Oryctolagus cuniculus: one gene and its partner. Each later gene encodes a partner of the first gene's protein in a complex. Links are inferred from orthologs where the notes say so. Each region holds a gene or a part of one and is shown on either strand. Other genes may lie near its edges.

Region 1 (16,696 bases):
CTGTCAGTGCTTAAGCATTTTTATTTTTAAAACAAGTCGTTTATCTAATGAAAAGATTACTTAGGGCCATGACAAGCGGAGTAAATAAAATAGTTATGACCCGAGAATGACAGTTGAAGTTTTTGTTTAAGTAGAATAATAAATCAGCGAGCTCACACTTCAGTTTATACAATATATCACTGAGATTACAAAGACAAGGCTAATGTTTAATACAGTGTGGTGGATGGGGTGTTGCTGTGTCTCGAATAAACCTTTTGCTGATACAAAGTAGATTCTTAGTTTAATCTTCTATTTACCTATTGAAGGTTCAAAGTAGAAAATGTGAAGTATGTAATATACTCAGGCAACTTCTGGGATACATATGAAAGCATTTACATAGTCATCTTAACTTTGCTGTTAAAATAATTTAGGTCATGGGAATCTGAGGAAATATACTTTAAACCTGTATTTGAAAATATTTTAAAGTATACTTCTTTTTTGTTACTTAGTAAGTACATTGTAAAGTTCAGGTAGGTACATTTTGCCACCAAGTGAATAATCATCAGAAACTCAATTTCACTGACTTATGGTAAACCAAAGTAAACATTTGTACTCTTGTTGCCAATATAGGAAGCACATTAATTTAGCATTAAACTTAAATCACTTGATAAATCATACTTTGTGTCTAGGATACAAATTAGTGAGAAATTGATATAGTGTTTACGGTTTTCACTCATGATTAATTTAGTAGGTGTTATTAGACACTATGTGCTTCTTTCCATGTAAAATTCTGAACTGAAGATCTGAAACATACAATGTTTGGTGTTTTAGAGACATATAATCAGGACTTCCACTTTGATGCATGCTAATTTTATGACTTGTACTGTAAGAAAGTCTCCAATATCTGAAAAAAACCAAGACTCCATTTAGAAAAATTTTGGTCAATAGGTGAAGTTTGTCTCTTGGTAAATACTAATGAAGGCTAACATTAAAAAAAGTGCTTTTCCTGGGTTGTTATTGCCTGAGTTAGATAAACTTGTTTTATCTTCACAAACAATGCTTTGGAAGCTGGTCCTGTAATTAGCTATATCTTACATATGGGGACAAGGTGGCAGAAGGGTAAATGACCTGATCAAAACCACACGGTAAGTTCATAGCAGTCGACGTCTGAAGTCTAACCAGCCTGGCTCCAGAACCCCTCCTAGACCATTCGCTGTTCAGCGCTGTCCGTCCTGTTGAGTGATTCCTTCTTCTTTCTACCTTAGTCATCGTAACTTCTTACCAATATCCAGTATTAGCTGTCTTTTGGAGGTATGTGATACTGACATAAATTTTTTATGTTTTAGAGATGAGTAGACATGACCACATCTGTAGAAATTGGTGGTCAATTGACTAGTGTCTTCTGGACTTCTACTTTTCTTATTGTAAGCAGAATATTCTCTTGCTAATTGTTGTTCATTCAGAGCTTTTTATACTGTTCAAATAACTTCCAGGACTTTGCTATTCATTTATTTTTTCCCTTTAGAATCAGATTCCGGTGTGCTAGATAATAATGATCTATAACAAAAATGGCAACATAAACATAATTATTGATCTGTTTCTGTAGAACTTCTTTTGTTCTTCATACATCTTGTTATTTTTTGAAACACACAATCTTTTAATGTGAGGAAAAATGACATAAGTGCCTTAAAAATTATGTTTGGAGAACTGATTGATGTTTCATTGTTATCAAGTGCAAAACTTCATTTTTACAAGTACACACTGCCTCAGACACTCAGGTGAGCTGTACGTCATCTGCCATTAGGTGTCAAATGATAGCAAAAGTGACCTAGTAAGCAATCAGTGGTTATAGTACAAAATAATCAAAGGTTTAGTCAATAACTCATGAAGTTTGATGTACTCGTATTGATAAACTAATTAAACAGATCTGCCTGTGTTCTGTCAGCCTGCTGGGGCTCTGCTATGATTAGCTTTACAGCAAAGAGTGTTGTAACATGGAATGAGAGTAACTGATGGGAGGATGGTGTAGTCACGGAGTGTTAACTACTCCCATTTCTGGTCACAGAATGGTTTCGGGAAAGTAGGCTTTCTCTGCACACCTGCAGCCGGTCAGTGCATAGGCCTCTTGTGGTCAATATTGATTGATTCTTATAACAGAACTAGAACAAATTCAGTGTTTTGCAACCTTCTGTGATTTAATATTGTTATGCTTTTTGTCGTAACAGTGATAGAAATCTTTCTCCAATAGTGAGTAATTATAGCTATGCCTGCTAGCTCAGCTGTGGTTCTGTATGTTTCAGTGTTGCCAATATAAACTCCTGGATATGATCTGGAGTTCATGATTCAGTTACTTGGTAAATAAAGGTATTGCTGAGAAACAAATCATAAAGGGATTGAGCCAAAACAGAATGTAACCCAAGATTCTTTTGAAACTCTCCTGGTAATTATAGAGTGAGATCTGAATATAATTAGTAAAGAGAAAACATATTTGAAATGATTATTTAAAACAACAGCAATGAATGAGGTAAAGAGCTTGGTGCAGTCTTCCCATTACCTATACTTTCCTCATAATATGTTGATGTCTGTAGAGACATAGTATTCAGTGAGTCATAACTGCTGGTGGGAAGTTAGTTTCTGTATATAGCAGCCCGGTGGGAAATGTCTTAATTTTTTCCAGTCCGCCTGTGGGCTGTGATGTGATTCAGCTAATAAGTGCTGTGCTCTTAGCCACGTGCCAAGCAGTGTGATAACGATGAATGAAGAAGGGTTCCCCTGCTAGGTAACCTCACTTTAGTCCCACGGCAGACCTGAGAGATTTTCTGCTTAATTTGTGTTTTGTGTTGATTTAATATCTTTAAACTATTAATCAGCCAACAAGTTGACTTTCTAGCTTCATTGTAGTGTTAGGAGCTATAAAATATAGCTGGGGAGAAAGTCATCTCTCCTCAATTTGATAGATGCTTCTAAAACTGGTCTAAGAATGTTTGGAATTTGTTTCCACTCAAGTCTAACACGTTGCACACAGTTTGACCCATTTGACTTTCACTTTACAAACTAGTATCATCCAGTTCTGTAATTCCTGCCTAAGACCACTTGGTTGCAAGTGATAATTTAAAAGAGCAGTGTTTTCACAGATATATTTACTTTGGGATTAAGCAGATTGTAAATTTTGAGAAGGACTGATTTGACTAAAAGAATGCATAAAATCTGTGAGTGTAGATGCCAAGTGCTTTGATTTTCTGTAGAAGCAAATCTCATGTTGAATTTTTAGTAACAGTATCTCAGTGATGTGCTTCTCAAGTAAGATGATAATCCAATTTGGTTTATGAGTTAGTTTCTAAGAATTATAAAGCTGTTTGTTGGACCTAGTGCGTTGACTGGACCATAAGACTTAGTAAGGGTTAAGTGATTTAAAATATTCTTTTATAAACTGATATAGTATCAAATATTTTTTTCCCGCCTATAGAGATAGTTTATATTTAAGAAATTTTATTCTTTAAATGGTTTAATTTACACTAGATTTTCAGATGCTGGGGGCAGGGGGCTGGGGGCAGGGGGCTGGGGGCGAAGGCCATCTCTTTGTCGGGGACACTTTGATGGAGAAGTGTGAGGACTGCTCTCACACAGCAGATACGTCATACTAGGGAGCTTGTCCTCTGTCTTGGGCTGATTCCTGGTTCTGCCACGTGCTTGCTCTGAGACCAAAGGTGAGATACAAACTTCTGTGTTTTCCTTTCCTACTATTTTTTTTAAGATGGTGTTAAACTGTTGTATTTACAAAAATGGCACAAATTGAAGTCATCAGTCCACGTGCATGTGTACTTCTTTCACACCTTCAACAACACAAGATGTATTAGCGTTATGGAACGGAATAAGAATACTAACTGCGATGGAACCTGCTGAGCATTGGATGAGTTATGTAGGTTAACCAGCATGGGCAAATATTGCCCAAGGGAGAGTCTTTTAAAGCTGACGCAGGGTTAAGGCCATTCCAGGTCAAGCCCAGAGACGCAGACCTTTTGGAATCCCATCTAGTTGTCTTTGAATTACACGAACTCTTTTCCAGCTTGTCTGAAACTTCTTTTTTACAAAATCCAAAAAGAAAATACAGAAGAAACCAGTTCAGTAAAGATTATGTTAAATAAGAGTAACATACCAAGCTATTATTAAAATGAAGTAACTAAAGTTAGAACCATTAAGACCATCTAGAGGCAGGTGCTGTGGTGTAGCAAATAAAGCCGCCTGCCGTGCCAGCATCCCATATGAGTGCTGGTTTAAGTCCCAGCTGCTCCAATTCTGATCCTACTCTCTGCTATGGCCTGGGAAAGCAGAAGATGGCCCAAGTCCTTGAGCCCCTGCACCTGCGTGGGAGAGACAGAAAAAGCTCCTGGTCCTGGCTTTGGATCAGTGTAGCTCCTGCCGTTGTGGCCATCTGGGGAGTAAACCAGCGGATGGAAGACTCTCTCTCTCTCTCTCTCCCTCTCCCTCCCTCCCTCTCCCCCTCTCTCCCCCTCTCCCCCTCTCCCTTTCCCTCTCCTTTCCCCTCTCCCTTTTCCTCTCTCCCTCTGTTTCTGCCTCTCCTCCTCTCTGTAACTCTGACTTTCAAATAAATAAATAAATCTAAAAAAAAAAAAGTCAAACGTGTTGTGTATTGGGACCAGTCCTACATAATGACATAGGTAGGACGTACAGTTATTTTCAAGTAGATTATGCTGCCTTGTCGTGTCCTTTTTTCTTAGTACACTGTTAGCCAAAAACTCTGCACATGTATATTCCCTTATAGTGGCAGTACGCACCCTGCTACCTGCAAAGCCGGCAGTCTCAAATGACTTAGTGAATAAAAAGAAATAAAAAGTGAATGAGTATTATATTAAGGAAAAATAATGGGAATTAGAAAATTCATGCAATTCTGCTCTTTTAATCAGCCAGCCGACTTGCTAGCAACAGGAGGTGGTTTCCTTGAAGATCCTGTGGCGGGAGCACGTGGCCACCAGTGACCTCTGCTTTATCAGGGGCTGCAGTAGGAAGTCACTTGTTCTTCTTTTTTGCTTTTAGCCATGTTGTAGTCCCCAGAGTGGCATTATTTTTGCCCTTTCTGTCATTTCCTTAAGAAACCTGGCTTTTGTCCCAGATGACACTTGCCTGTCAGTTGGCTTCTTCATCTTTCTCTGCACTTTCCATCTTCCGTGTCCTCCTGCTTCTTTGTGGATTCCCTGTGGGGACTTCCGTGAACCCAGTGCTCCCTCTAACCATGCTTGTCCTGCTTTTCTGTTCCCCGCCCTCCACTTTCTTAGGCAGAATTTCCTTTCGTAGTCTATGTTCCTTAACTAATTTTAATACTGACTAAATGGTAAGCATAGTCTTAGATATAAAAGGCCAAAGAACTTTTCCATGTGAAAGATCAGTGAGACAACAAAGCTTAAATCTAATGCACAATTCTGGATTAGGGAAAAATATAGACATATTATTGGGAAATTTTAAATATACAATATCATGTATTTGATAACTGTGATACTTGAAAATTGAAGGTATATAGGCCTGCCATTAATAACTTTGGACCTTTCAGTAGGTCATGTTGAAGGATGATGGAGACCGCTCTGAGTGCCTGAAATAGTAAGACAGTAAATTTGTTACATTCAATAGCTGGGAAGAGTTACGCTTCTTATGCAGTTTCCTTGGGCAAAGAGATGGCCAACCTTGCGGTGGAGTTTTGGGAAAGGTGGACTTGGAGGAACTCATGGACGTTCAGGGTCCTGACTGGGTGAATATCTGCAGATGTGTGGCCACTTGGATGAGTCTGTTGTTGATTGATGGGCACCCAGATACGTGTTTCTTGGAGTGAGTTTGTTCTTGACTGGCTACCTTTTACAGGCTTCGGCTGTCTCAGGCTGGTTGACTTGGAAAAGCCTGTTAATTCAGCTGAATTTTGTTGATCTATTGAATTGAACAGCTTTAAAGTAGTTCTGGTAACTGTGTATTGCCAAGGCTACAGATATAGTCTTTGGTAGAATATGATAATTTAAAAATATTGTCTACTCAAAATTGTTTATAATGAAGAAATTTAAAATATTGTTAAAGTCAGAGAAAGTACTATTGTTTTGTGCTGGAGGATTCTTGGAAAGATGAGGTTTACCCCTAAAGTAAAAATATCTTTATTTTTTTTAAATTTATTTGAAAGTCAGAGTTACACAGAGAGAGGAGAGGCAGAGAGCGAGAGAGAGAGAGAGAGAGAGGTCTGCCATCCGCTGGTTCACTCCTCAATTGGCCGCAACAGCTGGAGCTGCGCCAATCCGAAGCCAGGAGCTTCTTCCTGGTCTCCCTCGTGGGTGCAGGGCCCCAAGGACCGGGCCATCCTCTGCTGCTTTCCCAGGCCACAGCTTTGGAAGTGGAGCAGCCGGGTTTCTAACTGGCGGCTGCATGGGACTCTGACGCCTCAAGCCAGGGCGTTAACCCGCTGTGCCACAGCACCGGCTCCATCTTTACTGTTTTATCCGCAGAAAATTAATATTCTTTGGGAAAAATCAGGTAGTATAGAACGATGCAGAGAGTGAAAGTCACTAATTACTGTTGGTCAGACATGGTCTCTGTTAGCATTTACCAGGTAGATTCTCTCCTTTTATGCTTGCTCGCTTTGAATCCGGGTGCCTCCACCTGATGAGTGTTCACCGTGGTCGTTACTGAACCTCTCTGAGCCTCCATTTTCTCATCTGCAGAATGGGAATCACACTGTTTATTGAGTCGTGACAGTGAAATGAATTAATGTGAATAAAATTTAGAATGTTCCAGGTGTGTGGTTAGTGCTATATGGTTACCTCCTCTGATTCAGTTTTACTTCCCGTGGTTTCAATTACCTGTGATCAATTGAAAAGAGAAAATTCTAGAAACAGTTCATACGTTTCAAAGTGCATGTCATTCTGAGGAGCATGGTGAAATCCTCTCCCTTCATCTAGGCTGTGAGTTACCCCGTGTCCAGTGTGTCCACTTCAGACATGCTGCCTGCCCGTTAGTCACTTTGGTAGCCATCTTGATTATCTGATCTGCTGTCCCAGCATGGCTGCTGGTCTTTAACTCTTACTTTGCTTAATAATGACCCCAAAGTCAGGAATGCTGATGCTGGTAATTCAGATAAGCTAAAGAGAAACTGTCAAGTACTTTTTTTAAAAGTGAAAGGTGAGAGTCCAGTAAGATATTTGGAGGGAGAGAGACCATAGCCATGTAACTTTTATTGTAATATAGTGAAAATTTTTCTATATATTAGCTATTGTTATTTTTTTTAAAGATTTATTTATTTGGAGAGGTAGAGTTAGAGAGAGAGAGGGAGAGACAGAGAGAAAGGTCTTCCATCCACTGGTTCACTTCTCGAATGGCTACGACGGCCGAAGCTCAGATGATCCGAAGCCAGGAGCCAGTAGCTTCCTCCGGGTCTCCCATGTGGGTGCAGGGGTCCAAGCACTTGGGCCATCTTCCACTGCTTTCCTAGACCATTGCAGAGAGCTGGATGGGAAGTGGAGCCGCCGAGACTTGAACCAGTACCCATATGGGATGCTGGCACTGCTGGCTGTGGCGTAACCTACTATACCATAACGCCAGCCCCTATTGTTACTCTCTGAACTGTGCCTGATTTATAAGTTAAATTTTATCATATGTTTGAATTTATAGGAAAAAACATTGTGTGTGTGTGTGTGAACGTATATGAATCAGTATCATGTCCATAGTGAGGCATCCTCTGCTGCTATTGGAACATCTGCCTTACAGATACAGGAGGTGGGGACTGCCGTGTGTACCTGTTTGCCATTTTTACAATATCGTATCTATTTTAAGATACTTGTTTTCAATTTTAGAGTTTCTGTAGGTAGGATTTATCTTAACATATGGTGTTGACTTACACTGGGCAGGGCTTCTTCATTCTTTGTTACTTTGTGGTACATAAAACAATGGCATAGCTTGAAACATGTTGCCTGCCATGGCCTGCAGCCTGTTCGCCTCTGCCCTGGAGCCTGCTCACCTGTGTCCTGGTAACTGCGGGCGTGGGCTGTGCAGATGCTGCGCACAGGACCCACTCTGCTCTTAGTGCATAAATTCACAGAGAAACATGAATGGATAACAACAGAAAATGGTATTGGAGCAGTGGGAATCAGCAATTTTGCACAGGAAGCCTTAGGAGATGCTTTTTGTAGTCTGCCTGAAGTTGGGACAAAATTGAACAAACAAGGAAGATGGTCTGATATGAGGCACATCATTTTTTTCTGAGCCACAGTGAGTTTGGTGCTTTGGAAAGTGTGAAAACTGCTAGTGAACTCTATTCTCCTCCACCAGGAGAAGTAACTGAAATTAATGAAACCCTTGCAGAAAACCCAGGACTCGGCAACAAATCTAGTTATGAAGATGGGTGGCTGATCAAGAGGACACTGAGTAACCCTTCAGAACCAGACGTACTAATGAGTGAAGAAGCCTATGAGAAACACATAAAAGCTATTGAGGAGTGAAAGTGGAACCCTTGCATGAGCTAATATGGAGTAACTCAGTCCACACAGTTTTATCTTAAATTAGTGCTGGACAGGACTTAACATAGCAACTACTTTCAATACTACTTTCAACTCTGCTACTGGAAGAAAATATGCCCTAACTTTGTAGTGATTGCAGATGAACATAATACGTATCTTTTCACAGTACCTTGTGATTTTTATACTCGGCTCTAGGCACTAATTCAGAATCATGAAGTTATCTGTGCTAAAAACTAGGTATACAAATAATGTAATGCAAGGATAACATTGTTATCTTAAGCCTTACATAATATTGTAACTTGCTTATACCCATCCCTGGATTGGGGTCAAAATATGTGATGATCTTTCCATTGGAAGTAACTGGAAATGCACAAGTTTTAGTTGTACAGTGCCAGAGAAAGAACAATACTATCTTAATTTTGCGATATACTGCGTGTGCTGGTGCTGTTTTATACAGTGAAGCAGCAGCTCTATAGCAAATAAGAAACATAATAAAATTTTCAACTTCCTCATTAAAAAAAAAAGAAAAACTGATTTTGTATGTTAGACTGAATAAAATACAGTGTGCGCATCTGTTGATTCAAATACAAATGAGATCATAGGATTCACACTATAAACCAGTAAAAATTGTTAAGGGGATATATTTTGGGTATCATATACATGTTTATTGAACTCGTTATAGTGGCTGCATGGTTTAATGTTATGTAGGTATAATTTATTTTACTCTGTTAATATTTTATTATTTAATATTTGCTTTTGTGGAAAATTTGGTAAGTGGAATTAGCGTGACGTGGTGTAACTCAGGAGTGTAACCTAATGGAAATTGAGACAGAAAGTGTAAGTTATATTTGGGGACTGCTTTTGTAAATAGGAAAGAAGTTTGGTGATAGATTATAAGCTGTATTGAGATTTTCCTTTTATGATTCTGTGGAGTCATTCAACACTGAAGACTAATTAGGAATAAATTATTTCGTTTGTTTCACCTCTGTGTCCATGTAATATAAATGAATGAATTATTAACTTTAAATGGTTATGTTTAGCATCTCTATTAATAATGATGAAGATGTAGAAAGTATACTCACTAGGTTTGTTCTTAGAACTTGTAAAATTAAGGTCTAAGGTTTTCTTAACAAAATAACATGGTGCATTGAATTTGGTATTTAAAACTTCTGTTGATAAATGTAAGATTTTGCCCCTCACTTAAATTTTTAAAATCCCCTGAGAAAGTCGCTCAAGTATGGTTTGGAAAAATACAGAGCTTAAGCCAGGAATTAGTTGTATCATAAACACACAGAACAAGAGTTGTGTGTGTCAGTGAAGTGCCTTGTTGGAAGCTGTCACTGGTCTGTTCTGTTCAGGCCATTTGTAGTGTGGAGGGCCGCAGCCGAAGGAATGCAGACTAGAGTGAGAGCAGGTTTGTGAGAGAGCAGTAGAGTGGTGAAAGGGCTCAGAATCCTGTGTGTGCAGAAATCAGACTGTGGAGGCAGAAGGGGCCTGGCAGCTGCCTGTGAAGCAGTGTAGACGTTGGTTGGTTTGGCATAACCCAGGGTGGCACTCTTTTTCCTCTCCAGCCATTTCCAACTAGTCTCCCTTCCATTTTTTATGTTTTTTTGAACATTCCAGAAAATTTTAGGGTGTACTATGCCAGTATATATGCAAAAAGCAATCAGGTAGTATCTAGGATTTGTGAAAAGGAAGCAATTGATGAACAACAACTAAAATTCCATTTTTATTTATTTTTTTCTGTTCATAATTTTGTGTTAAGCCTAATAATTAAATTGGCTTTAAAAACTTTTCAGAACACAAGTCCAGGCTTTTGGAGTTTCTGTTACATTAAATTAGTGTTACTGACATATGAGATTGCTTCAAAAAGTTTGTGGAAATGGATTTAAAAGATAAGTTTATAGTGGTAAAAATGTTTTGAAATCCAGGCATACAAGAAGTCTCAGAGTTCATAAAAATGCATTTTAGGAAAAAAATGCTTGAGTTTCAAAAACTTTTGTAGCAAAATATGCTTATCTTTGAATTATATTTTCCCATGAGCTTTTTGAAGTACCCACTGTACATTGTTAATTCTGAACTGGAAATCTTGAATAATGTGTAATACGGTGTGAGTATTCCCGTTAGGTCAGAGACGGGACTCCAGAATCTTTGGGGCAAGAAGGAAGTATAAGTCCCCTTACTATGTGACTGCTGGACAGGGCTCACGTTCGTTCTTCCTTACTGATTGTGAAAATACTTCCCACTTCAGTTACTGTTCTAATATTCTTGTGAATTTTGCTCAGGGAATTTCTTAAATTTCCTTTTAGAGGGAGGGACACTTGATAGAATGCTGCTGTTATGGATTAGATGATTAAAATGCTTACTTCATAAGCTTTTTGGTTGCCAAAATATTATCTTTATTTTATAATCTGAACTATGACCAGGTATACTTAATATACTAGAGAAATAATCGAGAGTATATTTTGGTGTAGAACCTACTGATTTTTAAATTTTCCCTCCGGCTATGAGTAAATGACTTTCAAAAACGTTTTTTTTTAAACCAGATAAAGAAGTTGGTGTATGTTTACCTGGTCCGGTACGCCGAGGAGCAGCAGGACCTGGCTCTCTTATCCATCAGCACTTTTCAGCGGGCTCTGAAGGTAAATAATGGAGTCAGCAGGCAGATAGTTACGGTTTCTGGGCACTTGAAGAACTGGAGCAGTAATCTTCTAAATAGCACAGGACTGTCTCGAAAGAGTTAAAAGGTCTGCCCTAGTACCTGGTCAGCGCCATTGGAAAGTGATTTGTATAGCCACCTGGAACCTTGCCTTGTCTGCTGTAGCTTCTGTGATGTTTCTGTATGTCTGGTGAAAACATTAGCATGCATCAAAAAACTGTTCATCATAGCAGCTAATTGAAAAAAGTGTTCAAAGAGGGAGCATAAGACCTTCTCAAAGATAAAATTTATGACCTGCAACATTTTATTATTATGAAATCCTAGAAGTCTGCCTCATGTAATAATAATTTATCAATTTCAATTATAACCATTATTTTTCTTTAAAATATTCATAGAAATAAACGTTTATTTACTTGTTTTTACCCACTTCCATATCCTGGGTGTTCACTTCAAGTAGCTTTCTCCTGTCTTTATATTGCACCCTATAAGCACCTATTAATTGTCATAAAGATGCCTTTGAAATATTTGCAAACTTAAAATTCTGATGAGTATTTTTGCGCTTCGTTAGGACCCAAACCAGCTAATCCGTGCCAGTGCTTTGAGAGTTCTGTCAAGCATCAGAGTGCCAATCATTGTGCCTATCATGATGCTCGCTATCAAGGACGCTTCTGCCGACTTGTCACCGTATGTTAGGAAGAACGCAGCCCACGCAATACAGAAGCTGTACAGGTAGGTGTTTTTGATAATACTGAAAATCTGTAATGTTGCACTCTTACCCAGAAGGTGATGGACCACAGAGACTTATTTTATGAGCTCTTAAAAGTAAATCAAATGATTAATATTTGCCTCAGACATCTTTATGAATTTTTAATTTTGGTTACAGAAACCCTATGCAAGCTTTTAATTTGTGAACTAATTAGGACCTGTGATAAATGGGACCTGTGATAGATTTTATTAGCTTGAAAATAATCAGAATTTGAATTCTCATTTATATAGTCTGTCCCTTGTACACACGTCTCAGTTATTAGAATACTGAGATTTCTTTCTGTATTATTGAGTAGAATGTTAATTGCATTATCTTCTCAGCTTGTCCCTTGTTCCATCTTTGTTCCTTCTGTTCTTCTCCTTGTCTCGTTCTTTCCCAGAGCTATTTGTTAAATGATTTTTGAAAAGTGATCTATGAGACTGTAGTAGCACACTGTGTGTGTGTGATAGTGTGTCCACAGCGCTGCGTCAGCCAGATTTATGCCAACAATAGCAGTTGTGACACTTAAGAAAAGTATATTTTCCATTTGCAGAAGAAAATCAATCATATGCCAAATAATTAAGGCAAGCTATAATTGACCAAGATATTAGCATATGATAAAATTTATCTTCAAAAAGTTTGTGGGAAATACATACTATTTTTAAACTTTTCCCACCCATTTTTTCAAGTGCCATTGTGTGTTGTATGCAAAAACATACTAATGATACCTTTGGAAGAACAGAAGCCATCGTGTTACCGGTTTGGCCAGAAAGTAAAGATGCAGTGATGTGGGATTAGTTAGGAAAGACTTCTTGGAGAAGGCGACTGAAACTGGAATTTGAAAGAAGTTGAAAGACCTGAAGCTTCAGATAATTATAATGGCTAATAATATAATTATATAATGCCTATAAAAGGTAAAAACTCCTATTTTTAAAGTAACTGTCCACATTTATATTGCTTTTCACTCTTGAGCTTTCTCATTATAAACTTGGGAAAGATCAAAGCTCACTATGATGGCTTCAAAATCCTTTTGTCACTGTGCTGCAGGTTCTCTCTCTGGCCTTGAGTCCTGCTGGTAGCCAGGAATTCATGATCTAGTAACACAATACAGTCCATTCTTACCTCTTATTTTTCTGGTTCTTATAGGGCAGGTTTTAAAAACCTGTCTTCCCACTGGTATGATAATACATTCTTATTTGGAAATTCCCTGTATTTGTTTTAAGCAGTTATGTATCCATAGTAAACATGATGGCTATTGTTTTTAACCCAGTCGAAGCAACTTGTGCTCTACCTACTTGAAATTACTTCCTTGGGTTTTCCAACTAGTTTGAGAAGTGATTTGGGGGATCAGTGTTGTGGCACAGCTGCCTGCTGCAACGCTGGCATCCTGTCCTGGAAGGGCTGTTTTGAATCCCAGCTGCTCCGTTTCCCATCCACCTCCCTGCACATGACCTGGGAAGCAGCCGAGGATGGCCCGCGTGCTTGGGCCCCTGCACCCATGTGGCTCCTGGCTTCTGCCTGGCCCACATCCTGCCATTGCAGCCATCTAGGAAGTGAACCAGTGAAGAGAAGACCTCTCTTTATCTCACTCTGTGTCTCTAACTCTGCCTTTCAAACAGATTAAGTCTTTTTTCTTAAAAGTGAAGTCTTATTTAAACACTTATCATGTATACTTGACTTAGTTAATGTGATGAAGTTTAGGACACGTTTATGAGAAAAACTTTCTATTTTACTATAAATTTCTTTTCTGTTTCTATGTTGAAATAATTTTTCCTTCCCTCCCTTCTTTTAAGATTTTTTAGCATCATGAACCATGAGCATCTTTTAAAACCAGAATTAAGGAAAGAAATTGATAAAGGTTTTCTTTTACTGTTTCAGTCTTGATCCAGAGCAAAAGGAAATGTTAATTGAAGTAATTGAAAAGCTTTTGAAAGATAAAAGCACAGTAAGTAAAATCTTTTGTTATTAAAATAGTTTTTTATTTACATAGTATCATTTACCATTGGATATTTTATGTAATTAATTTTATTTCAAACCTCAGTTGTGGAGAGAGAAAAACAGATCCCATCTGCTAAATCACTCCTCAAATGCCTGCGACAGCTGGGGCCTAAGATGGGAGCTGGGAATGCAGTCTAGGTCTCCAAGGGGCAACAGGAGGCCATCACTTGAGAGGTTACCTGCTGCCTCCCAGCGTCTGTAGTGGCAGGAGGCGGGGTTCAGGAGCTGGAACCAGTCTGGCGTCTTAATTGCTGGACCAAATGCCCACTCCAAAGTGGTATGAGCATTAATGGAGCTTCTAAGAATTTTAAAATCTTCGAAGATCAAAGGTTTCCATATAATAAAGATTGCATTGTAAAGTTAAGTTTGTTACTTGTTTATTTCTTTTTTTTATTTTTATTTTTTTTTATTTTTATTTTTTTTGACAGGCAGAGTGGACAGTGAGAGAGAGAGACAGAGAGAAAGGTCTTCCCTTTGCCACTGGTTCACCCTCCAATGGCCGCTGCGGCCAGCGCACCGCGCTGATCCGATGGCAGGAGCCAGGTGCCTCTCCCGGTCTCCCATGCGGGTGCAGGGCCCAAGCACTTGGGCCATCCTCCACTGCACTCCCTGGCCAGCAGAGAGCTGGCCTGGAGGAGGGGCAACCGGGACAGAATCCGGCACCCTAACCGGGACCAGAACCCGGGCTGCCGGCGCTGCAAGGCGGAGGATTAGCCCAGTGAACCATGGCGCCGGCCTGTTTGTTTCTTTTTTAAGAATTATTTTATTTATTTGAAAGAGAGTTATGGAGAGAGGTAGAGTCAGAGAGAGATAAAGTGGTCTTCCATTCTGCTGGTTCACTCCCCAAATGACCACAATGGACAGAGCTGAGCTGATTGGAAGCCAGGAGCCAGGAGCTTCTTCCGGGTCTCCCATGCGGGTGCAGGGGCCCAGGGAGATGGGCCATCTTCCACTACTTTTCCAGGCCATAGCAGAACACTGGATTGGAAGTGGAGCAGCTGGGACTTGAACTGGTGGCCTAAGGGGATGCTGGTGCTACAGGCTGGGGTTTTAACCTGCTACACCACAGCTCTGACTCCTACATGTTTGTTGATCAGAGTCTGAAGTTGGGGAAAATCTTTTCTTTAACTGAAGACTCTTGTCGACCGCTTATAGAATCTAAGTTTATTTCAAACAATAGTGTATTTGGATTTTAAAAGGACTTGGGAAAACCATTATCTTAAAATGAAGCATTAAATGTTAAAGGGATTTTGGAAAATTTGAGAATTGGCTTTTAGTGTTACAAATGTGTTTTTAGGAAATATTAAAATATTTTCATACATACTAGGCTGCTTTATTGGCTACAAAGAATGATCTTAATGAAGTGATCATCTTTTGGTAGTGTATGGGTCGTGTTTTGTGTCTTATGCCTACTGGTTCTAGCCTTATTGAGAGTGGGATAGTGAAGTTTGTCTTTCCCATTCTGTCATTATTTGCTTCATATCTTCAGGAGCTCTGATATTTAGTGCATATGTGTTTTTTCCATTTTGTTATTATAAAATGTTCTTCTATCTCTAGAAACACTTTTTGCTTAGACTTTTTTTGTGTGTGTTTGGTGTTAGTACAGCCATTCCAACTTTCTGTGGTTGCTGTTTTTAGTACATACGTTTTCTTGCCTTTTTTAAAAAAATTTTTAGAGATTTATTTATTTTACTTAAGAGGCAGAGTCACACAGAGAGGAAGAGACAGAGGGCGAGGTCTTCTATTCACTGGTTCACTTCCCAAATGGCCGCAGCAACCCAAGTTGAGCTCATCTGCATCCAGGAGCTAGGAGCTTCTTCTGGGTCTCTGCTGCAGATGCAGGGGCCCGAGGACTTGGGCCACCACCTTCCACTGCTTTCCCAGGCCATCAGGGAGCTAGATCGGCAGTGGGGCAGCTGGGATATGAACCAGTGCCCATATAGGATGCTTGCGCTGCATGCAGATGCTTAACCCACTACACCACAGTGCCAGCCCCATAGGTTTGTTTTTTTTTTTGGACAGGCAGAGTGGACAGTGAGAGAGAAAGACAGCGAGAAGGGTCTTCCTTTGCCATTGGTTCACCCTCCAATGGTTGCCGCGGCCTGCGCGCTGCAGCCAGCACACCGCGCTGATCCGAAGCCAGGAGCCAGGTGCTTCTCCTGGTCTCCCATGGGGTGCAGGGCCCAAGGACTTGGGCCATCCTCCACTGCCCTCCCTGGCCACAGCAGAGAGCTGGCCTGGAAGAGGGGCAACTGGGACAGAATCCGGCACCCTGACCGGGACTAGAACCCCGTGTGCCGGCGCCGCAAGGTTGTGGGGAGCAACTGAGACTAGACTAAATTACTGGAACTAGGACTAATTCTGTGCATCTGCTATCCCACAATATGGCGCTGAGAGAGAGAGCAAACAACCTCTACGCAGCTGCCTCTTGCCAATTTGACTGATAAGCTGCAGGAGCTGATCCTGCTCCTGATTGGAGGAGAGCAGCGTGCTCGGCGTGTGGGTAGCAGAGTTGGGATTGGTGGAAGAGGACTATAAAGGAGGAGAGAGACAACATGCACCAGGAACATCTGAAGGAACACCTGAGCAGCCCCCGAGAGAGCCGGCCGGCGGTGTGCCGCTCCCCCGTGGAAGTGGGGAAAGTGGCAGGGGGAACTGCCCTTCCACGGAGGTGGAGGGGTCGGCAGCCAACCCGGGAAGAACCAGCAGCAAACCCGGGAAGGGCTGAGCAGATGAAAGAACAGCACAGGGTCTAGTGTCGTTCCTCCGCAAATGGGGGAGCGACACAAGGTGGAGGATTAGCCTAGTGAG
Region 2 (16,696 bases), on another chromosome or scaffold:
ATTTTAGAAGATTCTAGCTATTTGTTTGGAGACTATCAGTCAGTGTCCCCTAAAAAGCTGAGATTGTTAAGCATGCAGGAGTACCACACACTCATTTTTTTACACTCCAAAGCCTAGTATGGGATAGTAGGTTTGCCAGAGCCACTAGGCTTTGAGGCAGAGCTAGCTTTGGGGATACATCCCTTTTTCTTGCTTGAGGAAGCACCAAAATTGTAGGGGCACATTCTAGGAATAGAGTTGGGACATCAGTGTTTTTGTCTGATTTTCTGAGGCATTTTTTTAAAGGGTAAAGATCATGAAGGGATGCTATTTGATGCTGCTAACTTAGAATAGTTTCCAATCATACAGGGAGATTCCAGCCTGCTTGAGTTAAAGGAGAATGTCCAAGACTACTGAGTTAGCTCTGCAGTCTCTAAAACGGCCATCGTTTCTCTAGCCACCACTGTGCTCACTGTGCTGCCTTCCTGCTGCTCTATAGTTGTTTTTGGAAACCAGGTGTCTCTAAGGACAATGAGACCAGCATCTTCCAAAACTTATTTGCAGCACCACTTAATGAACCCATCAAATGAACTCTCTGAATAAAATGACTGCAACTACATCTACTTCATTTGTTCTTGGGATATACTCTAAAAAAGGAATATTCTGATTAGCTGGAATTCTATGCTTGAAAACTATTCTAATACTATTAAGTATTTATGGATCTTTGATATTGGTAGGACGTGGTAGTAGGGGAGGTTATCGCTCAGTCTTCAGCCAGAAGAGGCAAACTTAAAACTATGAGTGGCTGTTAGCATACTCTGGTTAGAAGAGGAGCATCTGCAAGTGGCCTTTGCAGCTGTACTCAAATCTTAGGTGAGGATTTGTAAGAAAATCTGATCATGTTTGGCCTTGCCCATCTGAGAATGTCTGATTAAAAAAAAAAAAAAAAAATCAAGTTCTTGCTTTGATTTTTTTTTATTGACAGTATAGCCAGAGCTAGAGAAAGCAGTTATTGGATTCTATAAATTTAATAAATAATTTAATTCTAAGAGGAAAACAGTGTACTTGGATGTCTTAACAGAAATTGCTAAAGGCAAGAAACTTGGCATACATTCTGCTTGGATTCAAGAGGAGACAGTACAGGAGGAACACTGGAATATTTTGAGGTAAGAAACCTGAAGAGTTAAGACATTACAGATGAAAGGATAGGGAGCTGGGCAACTGACTTGAGGTAAAGGGAGTTATATATTTGGTAACATGTGACTTTAGCTGCCCACCTGGGATTGGTTGCCAAAAGTAGCCTTTTTATTAGATAAAGAGCAGGCTGGATGCCCTGGACAGGTAAGGACGCACTGTATAGTGGACTCCCAATACCAGCACCAACCACTAGCCTTTGACACCATAAACAGGAATGAGGTCAAGGGCTATGCTTAGCATTTTAAATGGAAGAGCCAGACGCTGAGAAGAACAAGAGAATAAAACCACAAGGAGAAGGAAACTAGTAGCATTAGTAAGAACAAGCAGGAAACAAGAAGACCAAGTACTTTCAACTTTCAACCTTTCTCTACTTCTTTATATTTAATGAGGCAAAATAACTGGGCAGGATGACCAAGCCAAGGAAGTTGAGATTGACTTTCCAACCATGCTGATCAATATGATATTGTCAGGGTTACTGAGGATTTTGTTTCTGCCTCAATGTAATATACTTCCAGGTACTTTGTTAGTACAGTGTAGACACTGAAGTACTTCAGTAAGAATTATGACAGTAGTTGCAGGAAGCAATCTATGATTACAGGCTTGGTAAATACATACTGCAATAAGAGAGTTCCCCTAAAAGACAAGGGATGCAGGCAAATTCAGCCCCTTAAAAATAACAAAAAGGATAAAAAAAGATTAATAAAATTGAGGCAGGTTCATTTTCTTCCTTTTGCTGAACGGGGGCAGGAGGCAGACTACTTCGGTTTAAGGGGTATTGGATAAGCTTTATAAAACAGGAAGATGGCAAAGGTTTTGTTTAAGTTTCTCTTTACTTTAATTTGCTTAAAACTGCAAACACTTGTGCTTGCAACAACTTCCTAAAAGGAGAAGTAGTGTTCCCTTTTATTATCTTAATAAAGCATTTGCCCCATCATACAAATGATTTTTCCTGTGCTAACAGCTGAACCAGTGGCACAAAATTGAGATGATAGTTACTGCAGCAAGGTCCCTGTAAATCAAAATCTGAGCTTTACATAAAAATCTTATTTATAAAAAATACAATACCAAGTACAGTGAGGATGGAGCATGGAGCAGCAGTGCTCCCTGCCAGGGCCATGTGGAAGTGGCTTCTGCTACAGTGCTTGCTTAATGGCACAAGTGAAAAGCTGAATAAGGCAAACACTTGAAGAGGCAGTTTCTGTAAACGTCGGGGCGTGGGGGGAGTTTCCTCTGTTGGGACAGCTACTGATTTGGGATGGCTAAGATCTGAGGCTATGATATGTAGCTACACCTGACATGTCACGTTGCAGATTAAGACAGCTCCTCCTGGACTAGAAACCAGTTCACTTGTTTTAGGAGATAGGTTATCACTGTAGCCTTCTGCCTTTACTGTCACAATGTGCAGCATCCAGCTGATACCCCCTTCCCCTGTGGAAGAAATCACCTTCAAAATCTTCCCAAGTGAAAAGATAGAAAATAAGCTAAGTTATTAGAAAAGTCTCCTTAGCTTAAAGCTCCTTAAGAACCCTACATTGAGTACTAAGCAACTTTGTTAGTGGTGTGTAGCTCTACACAAATGCTTTAACTAGAATATGTATTCCCACCCACTTGGTATCTAACAGTAATAAATTGTAATGACACTTGGAAAAGAAACTGATCTTGATTACTTCTGGCCTCTTCTCATGTCCTCACTTGGAACTTTCCAGCTTTCGTGACATATTTGACTCCTTTAAATGGCTTATATTTCTCCCCATACATGTCCAAGCGATTTACTTTCAGGCCTGTGTCAAAAAGAATGAAAGGAATAAATTACTACATCTCAGTTATACGAACCAATACTATATAGATAAAATGTGTATTTAAGCAATGAGCCTATACAGTAACTCTGACCTGAAGCAGCGTCTACTCCATCCACTATCAGGAAATGTCCCACCTACATTCACAAATTATTGAACTGTGGGGTTATGGTTTTAGTTGATTGCCATGTAGGCAGGGAATTCTACTTTCTGTGACTATGACTGACTTCTTTTCTGGTGGGTGAACGAAGGCAGGGGTTAAGGGAACTTGAGCGAAATAAATGCTCTCCACAACTGATGCCAGGGAGGCTGGCCCTACAGCACAGCCTAAAAGGCAAACTGGAGCTGTTGCTTTTTCTATAGCAGGAAATGTTTGTTACTTTTTTAACTATCCAATAACTGGGCTCAGTGAAACTTAGTTACCCTTAAACAAAGTCAAACACTTTTACCTGAAATAGCAAGTTGCTGAATCTTGAACTGTATGTTGAGGCTGGGATTCTCTTCTGGCTTAGGTGCTCCTGACTGTAAATTTACCAATCCCTTAAGACTTGGGAGCTTTTGTGGAGTAATTTTTCCCACATCCCATGTTAGTACCTTAAAAAGAAATAAAAAACAAGCATGTGACTTGAACTTGTTTTCTATTTGCAAATGAGGAACTTAAGGTTCCAGATGTCAAATTCCTTGCTTAACGCTAATAAAAGGCAAGTTGGAAGTTGACAAATCCCATCTGATTTTAAATGTTCTTTTTATTATACCATCTTCACTGCTTCTCTCTGAGCCTGTTTCTTTTTCTGTAAAGGGAGAATCATCTAAGTTGGTATTTGAAAATTTTTAGCTGTAGAAGTTCAAGTGAAATCTTAAGCATGGAAGCTCGATGCAGAAGAGAAAGCGAAGCTGTTCTGTTTGAAGCTACACTGGAAGGGCACGAGATCCGGAGCCCCCCTTTCCCAGTCCCGCGTTGTTTCTGAGGAGCTTCTTTGAATTCCTGGGATGGAGTTAGATAATGTTTAACAGTTTATGACTTTTAATTAAAAAAAAAAAATGTCTTTGGGTACCGTGAGTGGGTTCAGCTGCTAATTCCAACACCAGCATCCCATATCAAAGTGCATCAAAGGATGGAAGCTCTGTGTCACTCTGCCTTTCAAATAAATACATAAATACATCTTTTTAAAGAATATGCCTTTTTGGGGCTGGCGCTGTGGCACAGTGGGTTAAGCCACTACCTGTGGTGCAGGCATCTGATATGGGCACCAGTTCAAGTCCTGGATGCTCCATTTTCAATCCAGCTTCCTGCTAATGCACCTGAGAAAGCAATGGAAGATAACCAAAGTATTTGGGGCCCTGTAACCATGTAAAAAACCTGGAGGAAGCTCCTGGCTCCTGCCTGGCCCAGCCCTTGGAATGAACCAGTGGGTGGAAGATCTATCTCTCCCTCTATGTAACTCTGAGTTTCAAATAAATAAATACATCTTTAAAAAGCCTTTTTATCAGGCAGTTCAATGACTATGCTGTAGTTGCTTCATAATCTTCCGCTATAGGCATGTGTAAATAGGCAGAACAATGTCTCCTGTGGAAGAATATGAAATGAAGAACTTTTAAAAGGGGGCTGGCTGGCATTGTGGCCTAATGGATTAAGCCACTGCTTTTAATGCTGGCATCCCATGTGGAGTGCTGGTTTGAGTCCTGGCTGCTCTGCTTCTGATCCAGCTTGCGTATTTAATGAGGCTGGCAAGGCAGCAGAAGACGATTCAAGTCCTTGGGTCCCTCAACCATTTTTGAGACCAGGATGGAGTTCCTGGCTCCTGGTTTTGGCAGGACCTTTTGAGAAGTGAACCAGCAGGTGGAAGATCTCTCTCTACCCCCTCTCTCTGCTGTTTTGCCTTTCAAATAAATAAGTAAATAAACCTTAAAAAAAAGGAACAAAATAATGGTTGGTTTCTACAGAAAGATCTAACAATAGATTATAGTATCTTCATATATCCACAAAACACTTAAAAAAGCCTTTACTGGGGCCAGCACTGTCGCGTAGCAGGTAAAGCTGCCACCTGCAGCGCTGGCATGCCATACAGACACTGGTTCAAATCCCAGCTGCTCCACTTCCAATTCAGCTCCCTGCTATGGCCTGGGAAAGCAGTACAAGATGGCCCAAGTCCTTGGGCCCCTGCACCTACGTGGGAGACCTGGAAGAAGCTCCTGGCTCCTGGCTTCAGACTGGCCCAGGCCTGGCCATGGCAGCCATCTGGAAAGTGAATCAGCGGATGGAAGACCTCTCTGCCTTTGCCTCTCTGTAATTCTGCCTTTCAAAATAAATAAATAAATTGTTTTAAAAAAGCCTTTACATTCTTATTAGTAGAGACAGTCTTTGGGTTATCACAGATGAGTAAAGGTACTTTGAAAGAAGATAGAGTCAGTTTCACGTCTCTGTTTATCTACTCAGGGGCAGACGTGGGATTCTCTCTACAGCCAGTGGCAGAAATACAGCCTAGTATGACCTTTGTTTGGTTTGGATAGGAACTTTAGTTTTAAACAAGGTGGTAAACCTCCCCTCTACTCTTTCCCCCAAATCACAAAAGAGATTTCAGGAAACACTTGCTCACTCTTGATCTGAAGTGGCTGTACCTTGGTGACTGGATCAAAGGTATAGCTGCCTTGTGTTGGTGTCAGGTTCATATTCAGCACAACTTTTGGCATGTGAACTGTCACTGTAATTCCTTCAACAGTTTTGCCCATATTCTGCTTTGGTCCAATCGTTACATCAAATCTGCCACAGGAACTGTTCTCCTTGAAGCTGATATTATGTTTCACATACACTGGTATTGCCACTAGACTAAAAGACACAAAAGCATATACATACACAATTAATGGTTAGGATACCTTCAGAGCTGCCCTGAAAATACCAGTCCAGAGTATTCTACCCTGCGTCTACTCCACAGTAGGGATCCATATTTCTGAAACTGCGTCTTTAGCATCTGCACAAAGGAAAGCTGGGTATAGCACATTCTGGTACCACTGTGGTCTAGGAAATCTATCATTTCTCAGCAGGAGGTATACAGATCAGAACCCAACTCTGAAGCCTAATAACAGTGTAAGCAATTGAGACAAATGGTTCTAGTTTTTAAAAAGATCCCACTGAAAGGTAATTTAGAATTTAATATAAATGATGAGAGCCAAGAAACATTTCTCTGCTTTTCAGTCCTGTCTTGATGATACCACCCAAATACCCTCAGATCCTTTCAAGGAAAAAAATAGCTATATAAGCTACGATGCTGAATTGTTCCTTTGAAACTCACGGCAGCAGAGAGTGACTTGAAGTGGGCATGTTGGGCAAGTCTGCAGAGCTAAAGGTAAGGCCTGTCTCCTTCTGTTGGCCAAATGTCTACAGACTTTGATAAAATTATGGTACCAGTTCCGGGTTCTGGTTATGCATAGTCCAAAATGCTTGTTCTCAGGCATAGGCTTTGCTATGGTCTTATTTACTGCTACTATGTACTCTTAGATTCAAGGTACAGATTATTTCAGGCATGTATTCTCATCAGTTCTCTTGGGGTATCTTTTTTTTTTTTTTTTTTTTTTTTTTGACAGGCAGAGTGGACAGTGAGAGAGAGAGACAGAGAGAAAGGTCTTCCTTTGCCGTTGGTTCACCTTCCAATGGCCACCGCAGTCAGTAAGCTGCGGCCGGCGCACCGCGCTGATGCGATGGCAGGAGCCAGGTACTTCTCCTGGTCTCCCATGGGGTGCAGGGCCCAAGCACTTGGGCCATCCTCCACTGCACTCCCTGGCCACAGCAGAGAGCTGGCCTGGAAGAGGGGTATCCGGGACAGAATCCGGCGCCCTGACTGGGACTAGAACCCGGTGTGCCAGTGCCGCAAGGCGGAGGATTAGCCTAGTGAGCCGCGGCGCCGGCCTCTCTTTGGGTATCTTGTTGAGTTGTGATTAAGTCAACCATGATGAACTCAAGTAGCCAAGTGTAGAATGAAACAAGGCAAAGTAGGTTCTATTCAGTACACTGATACATGATGGAAGATTCTGGCTGACACATCAACATACTTTTGTGAGCTGACACGGTAGGATATGAGTCGGAAATTTCCATCTGGAGGAATAAATGACAAAACTCTTTCAGATTCCCAGCGTTTGAACCGGATGCAGGGATGGAAGCTGACATCATCCAGAAGCCTGGGGTTCTGCCAGGAAAACACAAGACAGCCAGGTTCATAAAGTATACCAGCTATGGTAACTCTGTTCAGTATTATGAGATATTAGTATTTTTTCTAAAGATAAAGCAGTCATGAATGAAATAAACCAGGCACAGAAAGACAAATACCACATGTTCTCACTTATATGCAGAAGCTAAAGTCGATCTCACCAAAAATTACAGTGATTACCAGAGGTAGATGGAGTAAGGTGGTGGAGAACAGAGGGAGGCTGTTAAGATGGATCTCCTAATACAGTTAGAAGGAGTAAGTTCTGCAGTTCTAGCACAGTAGGCTGACTACAGCAATTTGTGATTTATGAAGAACTAGAAGAGAGGAATATGAAAGTTCCCAATAGCAAGAATGACAAACATTTAAGAAGATAGAAATGCTAATTATACTGATTTGATCATTATACACTGTTTATGTAAATGTATTATCACGCTGTAGCCCTTAACTATGTTATTATGTGTCAAAAAGATAAAAGTCATGTGAGCATTTATTAGTTATTATGACATCCACAGAACCTTAAACGTTTCACAATTTGCAAGTATTTTATATACATTATTTGAATTTCAATAACTACCAGGGAGCAAAGATGAATAATATTAGTTCCATTGCATAGGTAAAAAAACTGAGGTTCAGGACAAATTGGTAAAAGAGCACCATAACTCAATTCTTTTCATTGTTCTTTGCAGTGTGGTATGCTAAGTCCAAAATGATAAGACAAAGTCCAGTGCCCTTTCCTGTTAGTAAAGCAGATAATTATTCAGTGAAAACTAAAGTAGAGATTTGCCAGCTAACTTTTAAGTCACTTTTAGCACATCTAAGCAAAGACTTCTCAGCCTTTTCATAAAGGCCAGGCTCATCATGTAAACTACTGTCCTGAAAGCTGCTATGCTAGCAATACTTCTCAGATGATCCTTTACACTCTTAGATACAAACTTATCTAAAGTACTTATCACCTCATTTAATATTTAGTTGTAGTACTTATCGCTTCATTGAGTATTTCATATGTATGCTATTATGAGTTGGAAATTTCCACCTGGAGGAATAAATGTAGCCCTTTGCTGCAAACAAGAAAACAAAACTTACCATGAAAGATAGGGAGAGATCGGGCATTCCTGATAGCTTAATGCAAGCATCAATGACCCCCTGAATTTCTGCAAAGACTGTAGATCCTGAAGAAAGAAAAAGATTGATAGTATCAATGGAATCTGAGTCTTTAGCAGAGCTATCACTATATCTGGAGTAATGGAGCCACCCCCTGGGTGTCAGACTTGCTGAAGCTTTGCACCTCGATTAACAGGTCAGTGGACAGGGGATATATTACACCAGTTCAGAAAGCCTTTTCATTTAGTGCCATGGTCTGTAGCTAACTCTGGTTGGAATATGATAATGCTAATGAAAATCAAACCTATCTCCTTTAGAGAGTTCACCTTCTAAGACTACTGATATGAATTTAAATTGTTACAACAGACTTGAAAAATGAGGGAAATTTATTAGGAAATGCAGCAAACTACTTCCTAACTTTTAAGAAATAGGAGCCACTTGGGATAAGCATTGTGATGTAGTGGGTAACGCTGCCACCTGCAATGCCAGCACTCCATACGTGTGCCAGGTTGTGTTCTAGCTGCTCCACTTTCCATCTGGGTCCCTGCCACCCACATGGGTGACACGATGAAGCTCCCAGCTCCTGGATTTGAGCTGACACAGTCCTGCTGTTGCAGCTATCTACAGAGTGAACCACCCTCACCACCCTAACTCTGACTTACCAAATAAATAAATAAACATTTAAAAAAAGAAAAATAGAAGCTATGATCTATTTTTCTGTAGACAGAATGCTACAGTGGAAAGAGTAATCACTGAAGAAAAGATATTGGCTAGGGGCCGGTGCTGTGGCATAGCAGGTTAACGCCCTGGCCTGAAGAACTGGCATTCCATATGGGCGCTGGTTCGAGACCCGGCTGCTCCACTTCAAACCAACTCCGTGCTATGGCCTGGGAAGGCAGTAGATGGCCCAAGTCCTAGGACACCTGCACCTGCGTGCGAGAACTGGAAGAAGCTCCTGGCTTCGGATTGGCGCAGCTCTGGCCGTTGAGGCCAACTGGGGAGTGAACCAGTGGATGGAAAAATCTCTTTCTCTGTCTCCTCTCTCTGTGTAACTCTTTCAAATAAATAAACAAATCTGTAAAAAAAGAAAAGCAAAGCTGAAAGGAAGGATTCCTTTCCCTTTATCAATTACTATTAAAAAAAAGATATTGGCTAAAATTCACTAATTATCATCACATATCAAATACAACCTTTAGTGGATCACTCAACCTTTCTAAGGCTCTTCCTTTCTTTCTTATGGCTGCAACGGCTGAGACTAAGCCAGGCCGAAGCCAGAAGTCAGGAGCCAGGAGCTTCTTCAGCATCTCCTATGTGGGTGCAGGGACCCAAAAACTTGGGCCATCTCTGCCTTCCCAGGCCATCAGCAGGGAGCTGGATCAGAAATGGAGCAGGAACTCAAACTGGCGCCTATATGGGATGCCAGTGCTGCAGGCAGATGCTTAACATACTACATTGCAGTGCCAGCCCCAGCCTCAGTTTACATATAAAATGTGATGATGGGACTAGATTTTTAAAAATACTTTATAATTTTACTAATTTTTTGATAAACATTTAATACTTGCACATTTTATGGGTATTCTTTTTTCTTTCTTTCTTTTTTTTTAAGATTAATTTATTTATTTGAAGGCTGAGTTACAGAGAGGCAGAGAGAGGGGGAGAGGGAGAGAGAGAGAGAGGTCTTCCATCTGCTGGTTAACTCCCCAGATGGCTGCAACAGCCAGAGCTACACCAATCTGAAGCCAGGAGTCAGGAGTTTCTTCTGGGTCTTTCATGCAGGTGCAGGGACCCAAGGACTTGGGCCATCTTCTATTGCTTTGGGGTATACTTTCAACATATATACAGAGCCTGGATTGATTGAGCTAGGCAACTAAGCGTTTACTTCCTTTTTTTTTTTTTTTTTTTTTTTTTTTGACAGGCAGAGTGGACAGTGAGAGAGAGACAGAGAGAAAGGTCTTCCTTTTGCCGTTGGTTCACCCTCCAATGGCCGCTGCGGCCGGTGCGCTGCGGCCGGCGCACCGCGCTGATCCAATGGCAGGAGCCAGGTGCTTCTCCTGGTCTCCCATGGGGTGCAGGGCCCAAGCACTTGGGCCATCCTCCACTGCACTCCCTGGCCACAGCAGAGAGCTGGCCTGGAAGAGGGGCAACCGGGACAGAATCCGGCGCCCCGACCGGGACTAGAACCCGGTGTGCCGGCGCTGCAAGGCGGAGGATTAGCCTAGTGAGCTGCGGCGCCGGCCTCCTTTTCGTTTTGTTTGGTGCCTATCAGCTCTTCTTTTCCAGTTCTTCATATGGTATATAATACAATTTTGTGAACTACAGTCACCCTAGTTATATTATGAATATTTTTAATAATTAAATTTTATGATTGTGATAGAGTACCATCACCTGGTCTGGCTAAAAAATAGTCAGACACAGCCCTCTGCTAGTAGTACGGCATATAAAATAGTAGTAAAAGTATGGTATATGATAGATATGCAGTAAGTGTTACAAATAAATAACAAGCAAGAGAAGTATACAGAGTAATAATTAATCTGTAAGTAAGGCATGATGATTTCTAATTTACGAATGTTTGGCAGACTTCAACTAGTGGTTATGAAAATTATATGTAACCTCTGGGCAAAATAAACAGAGTTCTAAATCCTTAGAAAATAAATGCCTTTCTACTGAAATTACACTGCCAAAGGATTTTAATTTTCTTTTCAGCCTATGTCGGCTGAATTGTTTTTTCCCTAAATTGGACCTCATGCACAAATTACCTGATTTGTCTATAATTGCATCTATTTCTTCAACGACATCAAAATAGGCTTCGTTGTTTGTGTACTTTACCCCTGCCCGGCGCCATGGGATATTGGACAGCTGCCCAGTGGGAAGTGTGTCCCCAACATTACTACTGCCTGGGAAATGTAAAAGAAGAAAGCAAAGCTGATATATAAAATGGTTATCAGAAAAGCTATCATCAGAAAACAAAATTAAAAAAAAAAAAGAAGTAAGTGGCTTCTTCAAATGCTGTGTTTTTCTCACTGAAACTGTGATGGTCTCCAGAAATGTCAAAGATGTATCTATAACCAATATGATCAAACTTCTAAAAGACAGAAACAGGCCATGTGGTTCTCTGACAAACCAGGTTAAATTCATTTACTTATCTTTTGCTTTCTGTGTGTTAATAGAAACAATAACTAATTCCAGTGGCCCAACAACAGACTCTCATCCTGCTGCCACTGATGAAAAGAGGTTGTTTGTTTCAAAATCTTTTGCTGATAAAATGTCTCCACTGAGAATACAAAGTGATAAATAGGCCCTTTGGTATTCAGCTTAATTGTATACCAGATGCTGCCAAAAAGGCCTCAGTGGAGAAACTGGATGAAGAACATGCTCTGGCCTTTTCCCATTTTCAGGTCAGCACACTGATTTAGCTGCAATATGGTTAAACTTCAATATCTAATTGCATGGTAAATCACAAACACTTGTGTGATTGTCCAAAAAAACGTGCTTTGACTTACTTAACATTTTGGTTACTTTACACTTCTAATCCAAGTACATGCTTAACTGTCCTCTGGCCAAGAAGGGAGGGGCATAGTTCATAAAGTGGTTTAAAAAAAATCTATCTTCTTACGAACAAGGTACAATTACCATTATGTTTTTAAGCATTTTCCCATGTAGGTTGCATTTACTATTTTGTTCTATTTTGTTAATTTTGTTTTGAATGCACTTGTATTCATACTGTATATACAATTTTGCAATCCATTTATGATTGGTGTTCCTGCCTCCAACCTGTTGCTTTCCAGAAGAATTTTTGAAAGCCATAGCTTTCATCATGTTGTTTTCCTGCTTAAAATCTTCCATGTTTACAATAAAAGCTAAATATTTAGCCTAACATTCAAGGACTTTCTCAGCTGTTAAAATTACTTCCCTCACTACGCATCTGAAAAACAGCTCGGCTTCTATTAAAGGGGTTAATACAACTCAAGGTTTTCACTTCATGTGTATTTTTCCTCATACCTATGGAGAATGCTTTTTTTCTAACTCTACTGATTGTCCAGGGCCCTGCCTGAAGGCTACTTATTACAGTCCAGCAAGGATTACTTCATATACTGAACTATCCTCTTGGACTTTACAATATATTGCCCTATGGATACATGTTAAATTTTTACATTCTACATAGTAACATTTTTCTAATTAAAAATATGTTTATTTTGGAAGGTTGGAAATTATGAAGCAAAAATATATTCTGTATTTCCTTAGCTTGAGATAGTTACTGTCAGCATTTTAGATTTTTGTCTTTGAGAATGTCAATATATAATTAAGAGTAGCTTTTAATGGTCTTGAGCTGTTTTTTTAACCTGTTTAATAATTTTAGAATGAGTATTTCCAGTGTTACTACATTATCTGCAAAGTATGAAACTGTTTACTAAAATCTTAGTGTTACACAGGAGTTTAAATTTTAGGCACACAGTGGCTTCATAGAGTGACTTCTTTAACACTACCTAGGATAATTTATCCAATCCTCTTACTTAGTGCATACCAGTAACTAATTCTGGCCAAATCTTACTACTTTAATAATTTGTCAGATCATAAGTACCAATAAGTTGTTTATAAAATTGTAGCTGCTAGAGGAATATGTTTTCACCTTACCTGTAATAGAATTGACAACAGAACGTAGAATTGTTGGTGGCTTAATCAGTTCTTTCAAAATGTTAGATTCAGTAGCCAGTGGAAATCCATTGTCTAACATTTCTTCCAAGAGCTCATATACTATGACCACGTTATCCTTGATTGCAGCCTCTGAACACTCACCAAAATAGTCCTAACAAAATATATAGAATATTGCACAATGAAAAGCAGAAAGGAAGATTTGCTACATACTTTTTCTCAGAATAAACTTAAAGTGAAGTAACTTACTTTTTAACATGTTGAAAATCTGTAAGCAAGAGGGAAGAAACCCCTCTAGTCCTAGCACTACTCCTCAAAATTTTTGTAATTTATTATTTATTTCAGAGACAGACAGACACACATACACAGAGAGACAGAGTTCCCACGCACTAGTTCAATCCCCAAATGCCTACAATGTCCATGGCTGGGTCAAGGTTAAGTCAAGAGCCAAGAACTCAATCCAGGTTTCTCACATGGGTTTTAGGAACTCAATTATTAAGCCATCATTGCTGCCTCCCTGGGTCTGTATTATTGGGAAGCTGAAATCGGGAGATGGAAATTAAACTCTGATGTTGAATGAAGTGTAAACTGGCATGTTAAACTGCAAATGCCTGCTCCCTAAAGTGTTTTTGGAATGAACTTGATTCCTAATACATTATACCAAAAAGTACTGAAATGTTAAACTGGGGGCCTGTGCTGTGGCATAGCAGGTTAAGCCACAGTTACAGCTCCTGTTCGAGTTCTGGCTGCTTCACTTGCAATCCAGTTCCCTGCTGGATCTCCCTGGGCAGAGAGCAGGATTGGAAGTGTAGCAGCCAGGACTCGAACTGGTGCCACAGGCCGGGACCTTCACAGCACTGGCCCCATGAATAAATCTTAAACAAAAAAGAAAGAAAAAGAAAGAAATGTTAAACTGGCATGTAAGCAAGAAACTTCACTTGTCCTGGGCAGGTGTTAAGTGCTGGAGTAGGCTGCTTAGTGCTGCTTAGGAACGCTTGCATCCTGTACCACAGTGCTGGTTCCAGCTCTGCTCCTCCATTTCCAATCCAGCTTCCTAATACCGCATGCTAGGAGGCAGAGGATAATAGCAAGTGCTTCCCTTCCTTCTACGTGGGAGACCCAGATAGAGTTCCTGGCTCCTGCCTTCAGCCTGGCCCAGCTGTAACAGGCATTTGGGGAGTGAACCAGTGGATAGAAGAAGCATGCTCGCTCTCTCTGTTGCTCTGCCTTTCAAGTAGATGAAAAAAATAAGCATTGAAAAACAACACCACAAAAACTTCATTTGTCCTGATTAACTACTCCTAAGCACACATGGATAAGTTTTAAATTATTTGGTATACACAGCAAGACAAGAAAAAATATAGATTGTAAATACAGAAGAGTTCATAATCAACAAAAATCTTGGGAATATCCAGAGAATTTTATTTGGAGGGCCCTATTATTGCCTGATGACATAATTTTTAATATACCTAAAAAACAGCAAACAGAGTAGCCGTGTGTACGCTGTACACTCTATAGAAAAAGGTTTAAGAAGTGAGAAACAAAGAGTATACACTAAAAGCTGCAAATTAATCACAAGCCCCACTTCCAGCTAACTTGTGCAACTTAAATTAGAACGGTTTTATGCATAACCAACCTGGAAAGTGTCAGCAACTCGATGCAGGAACTCAATTACAAAGAGAGGTGGCACTTCAGTCTGTATGACAGACACAAAGAAGAGCTTGTCCCGGTAGATACTGATGAGGTAATGGTGAGGTGTTGAAATGACAGGTGGCACATTTTCAACATCAGCAGCTTTCTCCTGAGCTTCAAAGAAATAATCACAGACAGACTGGCTCACAACACTCTTCCAGTGCTTCTCCAGAAATATGTCACCGGAACAGTTAATGAGAAATAGACTGTGGATCATTTTTCTGTGGGGGGGAAAAAGGTTTAATTTTATTAAATGTCACAAAGTGCCCATGTATTACCCTGATACAAAACCTTACAAAGCAATATAAGAAACTACAGACTATTTTCATTTAAGAACACTGACAGAGTGGCTGGCACTGTGGTGTAGAGTTAAGCCACCGCATGCAACACTGCCATCTCAAGTGGGCGCTGGTTCATGTCCCAGCTGTTCCACTTCTGATCCAGCACCCTGCTGATGGCCTGGGAAAAGCAGCCGAAGATGGCCCAAGTGTGTGGGCCTCTGTCATTCACATGGGAGACTGACAAGAAGTTTTTGACCCCCGCAGCCATGGGAAGTGAATCAGTGGATAGAAGACCTTTCTCTCCTTCTCTCTGTAACTCTTCCTTTCAAATAAATAAATCTTTTATTTTTTAAGGAATATTGATACAAAAATCCTGACAAAAACACTAAAAAACTGAATCTGGTAACATATTAAAAAAGGGCTACATTCCCTCACCAAGTGATATTTATTTCAAGAGGGAAAAGTTGGTTCAAATAAGCAAATCAAAGTAACATGGAATATTAATACAAGTACCAAAACAAATAGTCATTTCAAAAATTAAAGAAAAAGCATTGACAAAATCTAAGACCTTTTCATGAAAACAAAACAAGTGCTTGAACCAGGAAGATAAACTTCCCTAACCTGATAAAGACATCCACGAGAATCTCACAACTAATATCACATTTAATAGTAAAAGAACAAATATAGGCCGGCGCCGCGGCTCACTAGGCTAATCCTCCGCCTTGCGGCGCCGGCACACCGGGTTCTAGTCCTGGTCGGGGCGCTGGATTCTGTCCCGGTTGCCCCTCTTCCAGGCCAGCTCTCTGCTGTGGCCCGGGAGTGCAGTGGAGGATGGCCCAAGGGCTTGGGCCCTGCACCCCATGGGAGACCAGGAAAAGTACCTGGCTCCTGCCATCGGATCAGCACGGTGCGCCGGCCGCAGTGCACTGGCTGCGGCGGCCATTGGAGGGTGAACCAACGGCAAAGGAAGACCTTTCTCTCTGTCTCTCTCTCACTGTCCACTCTGCCTGTCAAAAAAAAAAAAAAAAAAAAAAAAAAAGAACAAATATAGATTGTCCACTCTCACCATTTTTATTCAACATGGTTCTAGCCAGGGCAATTAAGTAAGAAAAAGAAAAAAAAAAGGCTCTCAAATTGAAAAGGAAAGAGCAAAACTGTATTTGCAGAATATACAATCTTTTATATAGAAAATCCTAAGGATTAGACACAAAAAACTAGTAGAGCTAAAAGATGAGTTCAGCAAGATTGCAGAATGACAATGAATCCAAAAAAACGAACTGTATTGCTATTCATTAGCTACAAATAGCATGAAAATAAAATTAAAGAAATAATTTCAGGGTCAGGCATTTAGTCTACCAGTTAAAATGCCCAAATGAGGGGGCTGGTGCTGTGGTGTAGCGGGTAAAGCTGCCGCCTGCAGTACCAGCATCCCATAAGAGCACCAGTTTGAGTCCCAGCTGCTCCACTTCTGATCCAGCTCCCTGCCAATGTGCCTGGGAAAGCAGCAGAAGGATGGCCCAAGTCCTTGCGCCCCTACATCCACATGGGAGACTCAGAAGGAACTCCTGGATCCTGGCTTCAGATGGGCTCGGTTCTGGTGCTGTGGCCATTTGGGGAGAGAACCAACAGAGAGCAGACCTCTCTCTCTTTTGTCTCTACCTCTCTCTGTAACTTTGTCTTTCAAATAAATAAATCTTTAAAAAAATGTATACAACTCTTAGAAAAAATGCATAAATCTTCATGACCCTGGATTAGCTATTTTTTTTTTTAAGATATGACACCAAAAGCACAAGCAAGA

What was found.
Region 2: the proteins of AP3B1 (region 1) and AP3M1 are in contact, whole or in part, in a cryo-EM structure (PDB 9C5A), measured with the Homo sapiens proteins. The link is inferred for Oryctolagus cuniculus from reciprocal best matches to the Homo sapiens genes AP3B1 and AP3M1. Residues at the interface, in NP_003655.3 of Homo sapiens: Leu60, Lys64, Val67, Gly68, Ile70, Ala71, Lys72, Gly73, Ile92, Glu93, Lys96, Leu97, Val100, Arg104, Glu107, Asn128, Gln129, Leu130, Arg137, Arg143, Ser163, Pro164, Tyr165, Lys168, Asn169, His172, Gln175, Lys176, Leu202, Ser206; in NP_001307192.1 of Homo sapiens: Met1, Phe15, Leu16, Glu17, Trp20, Lys21, Ser22, Val23, Gln26, Val42, Glu43, Asn44, Val45, Pro46, Pro47, Val48, Ser50, Tyr55, Ser58, Ile59, Tyr60, Gln71, Thr72, Glu73, Val74, Pro75, Pro76, Leu77, Phe78, Ile80.

The regions. Positions count from the first base shown.
Region 1 is NC_091445.1:2,246,859-2,263,554, reverse strand, and holds part of AP3B1 (AP-3 complex subunit beta-1), read left to right. Parts: intron 1-11,029; coding exon 11,030-11,125; intron 11,126-11,710; coding exon 11,711-11,871; intron 11,872-13,765; coding exon 13,766-13,832; intron 13,833-16,696. UniProt on the Homo sapiens protein: Subunit of non-clathrin- and clathrin-associated adaptor protein complex 3 (AP-3) that plays a role in protein sorting in the late-Golgi/trans-Golgi network (TGN) and/or endosomes.
Region 2 is NC_091446.1:65,181,632-65,198,327, forward strand, and holds part of AP3M1 (AP-3 complex subunit mu-1), read right to left. Parts: intron 14,839-16,696; 5' UTR 14,835-14,838; coding exon 14,562-14,834; intron 13,080-14,561; coding exon 12,908-13,079; intron 11,170-12,907; coding exon 11,032-11,169; intron 8,344-11,031; coding exon 8,258-8,343; intron 7,154-8,257; coding exon 7,020-7,153; intron 5,800-7,019; coding exon 5,592-5,799; intron 3,567-5,591; coding exon 3,422-3,566; intron 2,958-3,421; coding exon 2,857-2,957; 3' UTR 1-2,856. UniProt on the Homo sapiens protein: Part of the AP-3 complex, an adaptor-related complex which is not clathrin-associated. The complex is associated with the Golgi region as well as more peripheral structures.